2 linked regions of the Sus scrofa genome follow. The protein of the gene in region 2 binds, or shares a complex with, the protein of the main gene of each other region. Links are inferred from orthologs where the notes say so. Each region holds a gene or a part of one and is shown on either strand. Other genes may lie near its edges.

Region 1 (5,914 bases), on a different chromosome or scaffold from region 2:
TAGCTTTTTTCTGCGTTTCTATGGCGACCCATGCTCTTTTCTCATTTTGTATAATGGCCTGTCTCTCCCACCAGTCTGAGAATTCCTTGATGGCAAGGACCAAACGTGTTCATCTCTGTGTCCTCTGTACCTAGCGCACAGTAAGAGAACAACACATGCCAGGCACTGTTCTGAGCGTTTTTCAGACATTAATTCATTCAGTCCTCACGCCACTTTATGAGGGAGGTGTTTTGTGGTGTCCATTTCATAGTTGAGGACAGAGACTAAGCAGTTTGCCCAAGGTGCAATAATCAGGAAGTAGCAGAACTGGGATTCAAACCCAAGTAATCTGGTTGCAACTCTGGATCTTAATCACCATTCTCATCTCAATTTCCATGTGTTTGTTGAATGAATGAAAGATGATCCCTTTTCAATTCCTCACCTCAATATGTTCAGAACTGAAACAGTTCTCTTCCAGGAGGGTTCCCCCCCACATCTGACCTCCATCGCTCCTCCAGGGTCTTGGAGAAGCCTGGAGTCTTTGACTTTTACCTCTTTCCTCCCTGATCCCATTCAATCTCTCATCAAGTCTAGTTGTTTTGTTTTGTTTTTCCTTGGAAACATCTATCAGATTCTCTCCTTCCTCTCCATTTACAATCCCTGCTGTCCTGGTCTAGTCCTCATCCCTTCAGGTGAGATGACCACAGCAGCTTCCAGACTGGTTTCCCTAACTTCACTTCCTCACTCTGTGGGAGACTTGGGGTTTCCAGGCTTTTTTTTTTTTTTTTTTCCCCTTTTAGAGCTGCACCTGCAGCACGTGTAATTTCCAGGCTAGTGGTCGAATAGGAGCTGCAGCTGCTGGCTTATGCTGCACTTCAAGGCAACTCTGGATCCTTAATCCACTGAGCGTGGCTAGGGATGGAACCCACATCCTCATGGATACTAGTTGGGTTCTTAACCCCACTGAGTCACAACAGGAACTCCATCTAGCCATTTTTATTTAAACTTCACAACAATCTATGAGCTAAATATTCATATTTTATAGATGAGAGACTGAATAACAGAACCCAGGTTCAAACAGGGTTTGTCTGGCTCTGAGGACTCTTCTATCTTCAAAAAGACTGCTAACTTTAAGCCAGTCACTTAAATTCCAAGTCTCAGATTTCTTATCTGTATAATGGGGATTACAACATTGTGAGAGCACCTGAGATAAACTAAGCTCAGTGCCTGCCACACAGTATGTGCTCAATGATAATCAGCAATTAAAGTTCGCAAAACCCATAGACTATCTAGCGTATGAGTTTGATAAACTGTTCTGACCAAAAGGCTTCCTGGAAGAGCTCTTGAACCACTTAGCTGGTAAGAAGTTGCCAGACCTGGCCCCTTCTTTGTCCTTCAAAAATGCTCTCTTCCAGGAAGCACCATATGCTGTATGAAAAAATTATCTTACTGATCACTTCAAGAACACAGAAAAGACAAAAAACGCAACACACACAAAAACACATCCTAGCCTGGTGGAAAGTGCACAGAATCTGGGGCTCTGCCCTGTCCAGGTTGTGTGAGCACAAGAAATCTTGAAACCTATATGAATTTTTCTAATCTGCAAAATGGGAATAATAATACCTTCCCCTCCAAGGATACTGAGATAACTCACAGCCTTCAGCGTCTTGCTGGGCACTATAAGACCCACAGAAAGGAGTTGTGCAACATTATCAGAGTCAGATAAGGTAGACGAGCTTTATTCTAAGTCGAGGACGAGATGGATTTCTAAATCTATATGTTATCAAAATAAGTATCAAAAGGAGAGGAAAGGTGAAAAGATTGTGCAAAGCTGATACTATCTCCGTATCTAGGAAACCTGACTACCTTTCTTGCCAGGGAACAAGCAGCTCCTCCCCCTGAATCTTGAGAGGTGAGTGTTGAGAAGACCCGCCCTCTCCGCCGCCGCCAGAGCCCCGCCTCCAGGGTCGAGTAACGCAAGGCCCAGGCCCTGCTGATGGGGGGTGGGGGGGGCTCTGGTCACGTGAGCGCGAGTGCGGAAGTGGTGCGGCTGACGGCGTTCGTGATTGGTCGAGGCTGAGGGACCTGGGGGCGGGGCCAAGCGGCCGGACGCGCCGGGAGGAGCCGAGGAGGGGGCCGCGCCGGGGCCGGCGCCAGAGTCACGGCTTCGGTCTGAGGTGCAGACAGAGTACTGGACCCGCGGCGGGCCGGTGCACCCCTGCCTGCGCGCGCAGCCGCTACAGGTCCCGCAGGCCGAGACGCGGGCTGCTGCGCGAGGCGGGTGGGGTGGGCAGAGGGAGATTGGGAGGGCGCGGGCGCCCTGTGCGCAGAGCAGGCGTGAGGCGGCCGGGGGCCGGGACGCCATGTCCATGGAGGACCCCTTCTTTGTGGTGAAAGGGTGAGTGTCGTAGGGGGCTCCACTGGAGGAGGCGGCGGCAGTGCTGCCTGCCCTCACCTCCCCGCTTTTCTCGCTCTAGGGGGAGGGGAGACAAGTAGAGTCTGGCGTGGGGACCGCTTAGCCTTGAGGGCTATGATAAAGCGTCCAGAGACATCCCCTCTTCGTGCTACCTGGACTTTGAAACCGTGCCCCCAGTCAAGCCCCTGGGGAGGGGGGGGGTCTCCTTTGGCTTGTGCGCCGTTCTACAACTTATGGAGGGGTGTCGAGGGGTTCAGCAGCTCCTCAGGTGGGGAGGGAGACAGGCGTCCCAGACCAAAGTGGGGCTGTAGTGGAGCACCGGGCCCTGCTTTGAAGGGGGAAAAACAGCATCTGGGCAGGAAAAGGGAAATGGGCCTCCTGAGCTTTGTAGTTGGCGTGGACGGGGGTGAGCTCCCATTGTCCATTGAGTTCGGAGCGCTGGCCCGCTGACTGGCGAGACCACAACAAGCCCAGAGGCGTCTGAGCACGTTTGCAGGCTGGGAGGCGGGGGCGCGAGGCTCCGGAAGACAACTCTATTCAGTGGGGGAGTTTTTACCGAGTAATGGGAGGGGAGGAAAGCTGCTGTTCAAACTCAGTGGTGATGTTGGAAGGAAAACAAAATGAAATCAGCCAAACCAAACTTTCCTTAGCTTTCTGTTAGCACAGGGATTTTCCCACAGTGCTAAAGGAAATGAGTGCTTTCTTTTTAACTCCCTGATTTCATCCAGGCTATTTGACAGGTTTCCCCCATTTCTTCTTTTTTCTGCCTTTGAGACTAGAGCTGTCCTAACTTATTTTTCCCTAAGAAGTGTCGTGACTCCATCTTTGATTGCTCAATTGTTTGTTTGGAGATAGAAGCTTTAACTGCACTCTGTTATATAGGCTTTGTAGCCATTAAACAAATGCAGAAAAGATTGATTCTGTTGTTATAACTTGTCAGCTTTTGTTTTAAATGTCAAACAAAACAATCTGAGAACTGCAACGTTCTGGAAAAATCAGTGCCAATGACCTTAAAGTGCCTCTGCTTTCAACTAGTTGCTACTAGCTTCCTATTTCTGTAGGGGTAAAAGTTGACCAGTTGCTTGAGTGTTATTTTTTTTTTTTTACGGTTCATTTTACAAAATTTAAATGGTACTTTAAGTTAAATACTTTATTACCCATGATACAGTTAAATATATTTATGTATTTCTAACATTGCCTTTAAAAGTTTTTTTTTAACCTGACTTTAATATAAATGGAAAAACGCTGAGTTTAGATTATTGGTAATATGTGGCTCTCTACCTGGAAAATGTGTGGTTTATTAGGATTGATTTTTAGGGGATAATTTTTAAATGTGAAAACTGTTTTTTCCTTGAGTGAACGTTCTTAATGCTTAGGGTTGCAAAGGTTATCTCTGGCTGTGGAGACTGTAGATAATCAGAATTTTAAAATTTTTAATGGGATTTGTGAAAATGCAAAATTGTTTTGCCATCTTGACTTTTTTTTTCTTGATGGTAGCCAGTGCAGTTCACCAGTGCTTGCTCACTGATTAGATATCACTGCTTTATTGGAACATTGGCCTTGAGTCTTGCTTGACTTTGACATCATTTTAGCTCATGTTCTTAAGATGTCAAAACCTTCTGCTTTGTGGGAGTTCCCGTTGTGGCGCAGTGCAAATGGATCCAGCTAGTATCCATGAGGACATGGGTTCCATCCCTGGCCTCACTCAGTGGGTTAAGGATCTGGCATTGCTATGAGCTGTGGTGTAGGTCACAGATGAGGCTTGGATCTGGCTTTGTTGTGGCTGTGGTATAGGCCGGCACCTGTAGCTACAATTCAGACCCCTGGCCTGGAGGGAACTGCCATATGCCACAGGTGCAGCCCTTAAAAGAAAAAGAAAAAAAACCCTTCTGCTGTGGAAAAGTAAAATTAGCTACATGAGTGCCTCCACAATGTGTGAGGGAATGTATGGAGCCATGTATCTCTGCTTATTGAAAGTTTTGAAAATGCACCCCACGATGTGGAAAAATTAAAGATGCTTGAATTGTGGCCCTTAGCCTAGGAGCTGGTAGTCTAATCTGAAAAAAACTTACCCCCAAATTAAGTAGAAATGACAGGTGGTAAGTGATCAAATGCTGTAGCCTAGGAGCTGGTAGTCTAATCTGAAAAACAACTTACCCCCAAATTAAGTAGAAATGACAGGTGGTAAGTGATCAAATGCTGAAGTGAATGCTACAGAAGATTAGGTGCCCCAGTAGTCCGGAGAAAGGCATCTCATTAGGAATGGCTGTGGTTGGAAAAGCTTTGGAGGTAGTAGTATGTCTTAGGTTTTGAAGATGGGTAGCTCTTAGATAATTCAGCCTGTGTCTCTTCTGGACTATTGGCAAGAAGAGTATCCATTTGGTCCTCTTGCTCCCAATCCCTTTCCTCTTTCATCTATCTTAGTTCTGCTGGCTGGGTGCTCTCCAGTATGCCGGTGTGAGCCACACATGCCGTGTTACATTGCCTAGTAGATGCAGTAAAAAGTAAAAGACAAGTGAAATTAATTTTAATGTCATCTTTAACCAGTATACTCAAAATATTTCAACATGTGATGAATATAAAGACTGTTAATGAAAGATTTTTCCCTTTTTGTACTACGTCTTAAAAATCCGGCGAGTATTTTGTACTTAGAGCACATCTCAATTTGGACACTAAATTTTCATCAGAAACACTTGATCTTTATTTGGAGTTCATTAAACACACAGTTCAAAGTGCGGATTGATGTACCCAGATTGTTCCACGTATACTTTCAGAATTTTTGGTAGCTGAAGTGTATATCAGTTTTTAAAGTTAAATTAAAATGTAAAATTTAGGAGTTCCCATCGTGGCTCAGTGGTTAATGAATCCGACTAGGAACCATGAGGTTGCGGGTTCGATCCCTGCCCTTGCTCGGTGGGTTAAGGATCCGGTGTTGCCGTGAGCTGTGGTGTAGGTTGCAGACGCGGCTTGGATCCTGCGTGGCTGTGGCGTAGGCCGGAGGCTATAGCTCCGATTCGACCCCTCGCCTGGGAACCTCCATATGCCACAGGAGCGGCCCTAGAAAAGGCAAAAAGACCAAAAAAAAAGAAAGAAAATTTAAAATTTAGTTCCTCGGCCACACTAGCCTGCTTCAGCAGCCTCATGTGGCTTCCATATTGGGGGCAGCACAGGTGTAGCTTTTCTAGAACCCATGCAGGAGTTCTCTCCTTAACATCATTTAGTGGCAGTCTGTTGCCTATAGAGGTAAATCTGAACACTTCGGGATGCAGCCTTTCTCCACCCTTGCTCACTCTGCCTGCCTTTAGCATGGAGCTCTGGCACTGCCAGACTCAGTCTAGTGACTATGACCACAGTACTGGGTGTTCTTACTTTGCCTAATTCACCCACTCAGCTTTTTGGATTCACTGTGAGCATCTCACTATCTCCAGGAAGTGCTTCCCTTGGCACCTACAACACATTATTGCACCTCTTCCTCTGGCTGTCTTTCATTATAAGAGTGTGAGGTCTGAGGGTCTGCTT
Region 2 (5,912 bases):
TCCTCGGGTGGGCTTGTTAAATAATGCCCCAGTATGATATTGGACAATCATGCTACACTCTTTGTCTCTATTCCAAATTTTGCATAATAATTTTAACAGTATTGTGTAGCCTTTTGTTTTGCTTTGATTTTGACCATGCCCAAAGCATGCAGAAGTTCCCAGGCCAGGGGTCAAACTTGCACCAAAGCAGCAACCAGAGCCACTGCAGTGACATTGGATACTTAACCTTCTGCACAGGGAAACTAATTCCCTGCAATGTTGCTGTTTTTTTTTTTTTGGCTTTTTAGGGCTGCACTCTCTGCATATGGAGGGTCCCAGGCTAGGGGTCTAATTGGAGCTACAGCTGCCAGCCTACGCCACAACCACACCAGATCCAAGCTGTGTCTGCGATCTACACCACAGCTCACAGCAAGGCCAGATCCTTAACCCACTGAGCAAGGCCAGAGATCAAACCCGCAACCTCATGGTTCCTAGTCAGATTCATTTCTGCTGCTCCACAACAGGAACTCGCCTGCAACTTTTTTTAAGTTGTTGTTGTCTTTTTGCCTTTTCTAGGGCTGCACCCGCGGCATATGGAGGTTCCCAGCCTAGGGGTCCAATCGGAGCTGTCACTGCCTGCCTACGCCAGAGCCACAGCAACGCAGGATCCGAGCCGCATCTGAAACCTACACCACAGCTCACGGCAACACCGGATCCTTAACCCACTGAGCAAGGGCAGGGATCGAACCTGCAACCTTATGGTTCCTAGTCGGATTTGTTAACCGCTGAGCCACGATGGGAACTGCAACTTTTTTTCAGTTTATAGATTTCTTGGAGTAGATCTAAATCTTTGTATTCTCTTCATTTTTCCTAAGATTATAGCTTCATAAGCTGAAATCTTCACGTGTATTTTTATATACCCTCTAAACATCCCATTCATTGAGTCAGCAAACTTTTTGTGTGAAAGAACAGATAATAAATGTTTTAGGTGTTGCCAACCATATGATTCTGTTGCAGCCACTCAACTGTGCTTTGTAGTGCAAAAGCAGACATAGGTAATATGTAAACAAATGAGCATGATGTGTTCCCATAAAGCTATTTATTTATAGGCACTGAAATATAAATTTCATATAACTTTTGCATATCATGAAATGTCATTCTTTTTCAACCATTTAAAAAGGGGAAAAAATTCTTAGCTTACAGGCAATATGAAAACAGGTGGAGGGCTGTGTTTGGCCTGCAGGATCCCTGCCAAAGAATAAATAAAGTTGTTTCTGTTCCACCCCTGGTTCCCCTCAGTCCATCATAAGTAATATTTCAAGGACCACACTGATGAAGCCTTTTTCTCCTTTTTCATCCATTCAAACTCGGCATGTCTCAATCTGTACTCTAAGTCGTTCCCTATCTTCAGCTCTTCACCTAGGTGAGCTGTAACTTTGTTCAAAGAAAACCTGAGAATTATCTTCACCATCTCCACCCAACCCCTCACTTAGCACATTCCATCAGTCACTTAAGGTTTGCCAAGTGTGTCTTCTAAGCACAGTATAATGGGAGTTCTCAAATTCAAGTGCACCAGAACTACTTCAGGACTTAAAAGAGAGAGAGAAGCTAGAGCTGAAGGGAGTCCGCTTCTCAAGGTGCTGCTACGGGTAATTCTGAAGCCATTCTGATGAACATCAGAGGACCAGGCCATGCAAAACGCTGCGCTAGAGGCACTGTGCCTGCATTTAATCCTCGTACCTCCCTTGCGAAATATGTACCCCAATATTAGGAATCCGGGGGAAACTGAAACTGCTGCTCCCGTAACAAGGTAGTGGCAGAATGCCAGGCATAAGCTCTCTGGCTCCACGGCCCGCGCTCTGTCCACCGAGTCTAGGGACGTATTGCGTGGGCTCTTGCCTGCGAGGGTGCGGGGTTGGAAGCCACAAGCCGCCCTCCTTCTGGGAGGACAGTTCCACAAAATCCTTACGCCTGAGAAGCTGGGGGAACCAGGGCTCTCAGGAACCCCTCGCTTGGGGAGGAAGAATGCGGGGTGGGAACTCTAGTCTCGAAGGACTCAGGGCTGCGGGGGGACGTTTCACCTGAAGGACTGCCTCGTTGCAGCAACTCTATGGCTCCCGGAAGTGCCTCCTCCCGGTCCCCTGCCCAGCCTCACGCCCGTGGGCTGCAGTTGGAGCCATGGCGGCGGCAGCCGCTGGGCCTGGGCCGGGGTCTGGACCTGGGGGCTCCCCGGAGGGGCCCGAGGCGGACGCTCCGGAGCGTCGGCGGAAGGCGCACGGGATGCTGAAACTTTACTACGGCCTTTCAGAGGGTGAGGCGGCGGGGCGCCCCGTGGGGCCGGACCCCCTGGACCCGACAGACCTCAATGGGGCGCACTTCGACCCGGAAGTGTATCTGGACAAGGTGTGTGTATGGGGGAGGGAGGGGGACAGGCCCTCGATATACTGCACCCCCAGATGAGGGGAGCAGAGGTTCATAAAAGCAGGACGACCCTGGGCCGGGCAGTAGGGGCAGAGCTGGAGGATAAGAGGGCGTGGGGAAACTCGTACTGGCCTGAGATGGTGCGAAGTCTGAGGTCTCCTGGACCGATGTTCGAACAGACCCGAGATACGGGGCGTGGCCCTGGCGCCGACAGGCGTAGAACTGGTCCGTGACAGCATCTGAGGATTTCAAACGCTGACACATTCCTAATAGAGTCCAACCTGGTAATTCCCGAGCTATGCTACTTGTAGGCTCCTTACCTGAGAGCCCTGACAGGGTTGAGATCAGAGTTTTCTTGCACCGAAAGCCTACCAGTTAGGGGCAAGGCTGGAGGACATGGGTGCCCCCTGTCCTGAACACTAACCACCCGATTTCTTCCAGCTGCGTAGAGAATGCCCACTGGCCCAGCTGATGGACAGTGAGACCGATATGGTGCGGCAGATCCGGGCTCTAGACAGCGACATGCAGACCCTGGTGTATGAGAACTACAACAAGTTCATCTCAGCCACAGGTGATTCTCCTACTGGGACACACTCCACACAGTCCCATATTCCCCAGTTCCTCCTTTGTTGGGGAAGCCAGATTCCAGTCCTGCCCTGACATTAATCCACTCTCACGCCTCTCTCTCAGAGCCTTTGTGGTTTGATGACGAGTCATCAAACAGTATTAACTGTTCTCAGAGGGTTGTTTTGGGGACCAAAGAAAAGAAAGGACAAATGAAATTTTTAAAAGAAACGAATTTATCTGAAGCACTTAGAATTTCCAACAGTAAGGACGGCTCAGTAATGATTAGTTTCTCTCATTAGTGGTAGCTTTGTTCGCTGATTCAGGTCTGTCTTGAACATGAGCTTATCACTCTTTCTCTCTCACTTTTTTTTCCCCTTTTCTTCCTTTTTCTCTCTATTTCATTCCTTCCTTGCCCTTTCCCTCTTTCCCCTTGCTTTCTCTTTTTTCAATGAAGCGAAGAGACAGAAAGTGTATGACAGTAACACACAAAGATCATATAAAGGGGTTTTGCCCCTTCTTCCCCCTTTATTCTCTACTCAAGACAGTGCTAGACAATGTTCAGCTGTCATCCACACTAGCTTCTGTCCTGTGTTGAAGAAACGCACTCTTCAGTTCTCTGTAATAATTTTGGACCCGCATGTCCTTGGTCCTATGGATCTGCCTGCAGTTTATAGGAATGTTCCGGGAACCTCTGGCACTCGTTCTGACAATTCTTATTCTGCTACTGTCACAGCAGTGGGTGTAGTAACACATAATCGCTGTTCTTTGATCTGATTTGAAGCAGGTTCAATGAGCAGGTGCCCCTCTATATGTTAATACCAGCATCAAACAGCAAGAAATCATGATTTCTATGCTGAGAAATTTCTCCCAGGAATTCTGAATAAGTGAACGCACAAATAAAAGTAGTAATAAGTGCTATGAGCAAATGTAGAGCAAGAGGAAAAGATAATGTGTTGGGGGGGAGGTCTGTCTTTAGATAGGGTAAGTATGAGAAGGCCCCTCTGAGGTGGTGACGTTTGAGCAAGGCTTTGATGAGGAGGAGCCAGCCATGAGGAGAAGGATTTGGGGGAGGAAACAGCAAGAGCAAAAGTTCTCAAGAGAGCATGTCTGGTGTATCGAGAGTGCAGCAGGGAGTTGAGGGAGGAGGCGGGTGGTGGTGACTGGGGTGGAGGGGCCGCTTCTGGAGGGACTTGGAGGTGGGATGAGGATCCTGCTCTTTACTCTGAGTGAGATCATCACTGAGGGAGGATGAAACGCCTCGTGAACTTCCAAGCCTTTTTATGATCATCATCTTGGGAGCCTTCTGGTACCTTAGCTTCTGTCTTTTGCCTTAGCTCTGCTCTTTTTTTTCCAGGGAGGTCTTTTTTTTTTTTTTAGGGCTGCACCCATGGCATATGGAGGTTCCCAGGCTAGGGGTTGAATGGGAGCTGTAGCCGCTGACCTACACCATAGCCACAGCAACGCCAGATCCGAGGCGCATCTGAGGCCTACACCACAGCTCACAGCAACACCAGATCCTTAACCCACTGAGTGAAGCCAAGGATCAAACCTGTGTCCTCATGGATACTAATCAGATTCATTTCCGCTGAGTCACTTTGAGAACTCCCCTTTGCTCCGCTCTTACTCAGTTTTTAACTGCCTTGCCCTGTCCGTGCTAGGTGCCTTAATTCATTGTGAACCGACAACACAATCATCATTTATCCAAAAAAAAAAAAAAAAAAAATGCAAGCAACTCCAACCAGTAGCCCCAAAGAGTAGTATAGATGTTTCATCTTATGTGACTTTATTTTTTAGTAACCTTCCTCTCTGTGGATTCTGAGAGAGGTGAATGGTCTTGTCCCATAGCCTGTGTTGCTAACATAAAATGTTCATTTTGTGATTCATGGTCTATCTCTTCATGTAACTTTAAAAAAAACTGAACACCTTTTATTCGCCCCAGAGGCATTAGCTTTGAGAGTTCTTCTTGTGCATTTTTTTCCTTTGATTTTCTCTGCTATTTTTTTCATTGGAACTTTTGTATCTATTCCTCTTTATTTTCCTTGTCATTGTCATTGATGTTTTTCTCCTCACTTTGTCCTTCCTGCTGTTTCCCCAAGTTGGGTTGCTGCCCCAATCCCGCTCAGAGAACATTCCCCCAGTCCAGGAGCTCACACAGGCCAAGTGTGGGTGTGCAAAGGCTCACAAGTGAATGCTCTTAGCTATTGCCAGATTCTTTGCCACACACAAAAATGACCTGGTTTTGCACAGCCATCAGCAAATAGGAAAGTAACTCTTTCCATATTCCCTGGCCGATACTAAGTTACCAAAATTTTCAATCTTTGGCAGTCTGAGAGGTAAAAAGTAGTATCTGTATAGTTTGTTTCTTTCTTTTTTTTTTTTTTTTCTGGTCTTTTTTTTGTCTCTTTAGGGCCATACCCATGGCATACATAGGTTCCCAAGCCAGGGATCCAATTGGAGCTGCAGCCACCGGCCTACACCACAGACACAGCAACGCCAGATCCAAGCCTTGTCTGTGACCTACACCAAAGCTCATGGCAATGCCAGATCCTTAACCCACTGAGCAAAGCCAGGGATCAAACTCATGTCCTCGTGGATGCTAGTCAGGTTCAGTAACTGCTGAGCTGTGACAGGAACTCTGTATCTGTGTAGTTTTAATTGCATTTCTCTTGTGAGTGAGGTTGAACATTTTTTGTATGCTGAAGAGCTGTTTCAAGAGTTCCTTGGTGACCCGGTGGGTTAAGGATCCAGTGTTGTCACTGCCGTGGCTTGGGTTGCTGCTGTGGTGGAGGTTCCCTAGTCCAGGAACTTCCGCATGCCACGGGTGTGGCCAAAAAAGAACTGGTTGATAATCCTTGTCTGCGACATCCTTTTCTTTTTTCTTTCTTTCTTTTTTTTGTCTTTTTAGGGCCACACTCGCGGCACATGGAGGTTCCCAGGCTAGGGGT

The links. Proteins that work in one complex are often made in the same cells at the same time.
Region 1: the proteins of VPS51 (region 2) and STX6 are in contact, whole or in part, in a crystal structure (PDB 4J2C), measured with the Homo sapiens proteins. The link is inferred for Sus scrofa from reciprocal best matches to the Homo sapiens genes VPS51 and STX6. Residues at the interface, in NP_037397.2 of Homo sapiens: Ala33, His34, Met36, Leu37, Leu39, Tyr40, Tyr41, Gly42, Leu43; in NP_005810.1 of Homo sapiens: Met3, Glu4, Asp5, Pro6, Phe7, Val9, Val10, Glu13, Trp59, Asp60, Asp63, Leu64, Glu66, Thr67, Ile70, Val71, Phe78, Arg88.

Annotation. Positions count from the first base shown.
Region 1 is NC_010451.4:122,576,795-122,582,708, reverse strand, and holds the start of STX6 (syntaxin-6), read left to right. Parts: upstream 1-2,135; 5' UTR 2,136-2,342; coding exon 2,343-2,377; intron 2,378-5,914. UniProt on the Homo sapiens protein: SNARE promoting movement of transport vesicles to target membranes. Targets endosomes to the trans-Golgi network, and may therefore function in retrograde trafficking.
Region 2 is NC_010444.4:7,091,037-7,096,948, reverse strand, and holds the start of VPS51 (vacuolar protein sorting-associated protein 51 homolog), read left to right. Parts: upstream 1-2,050; 5' UTR 2,051-2,157; coding exon 2,158-2,382; intron 2,383-2,401; exon of another isoform or gene 2,402-2,684; intron 2,685-2,841; coding exon 2,842-2,971; intron 2,972-5,912. UniProt on the Homo sapiens protein: Acts as a component of the GARP complex that is involved in retrograde transport from early and late endosomes to the trans-Golgi network (TGN).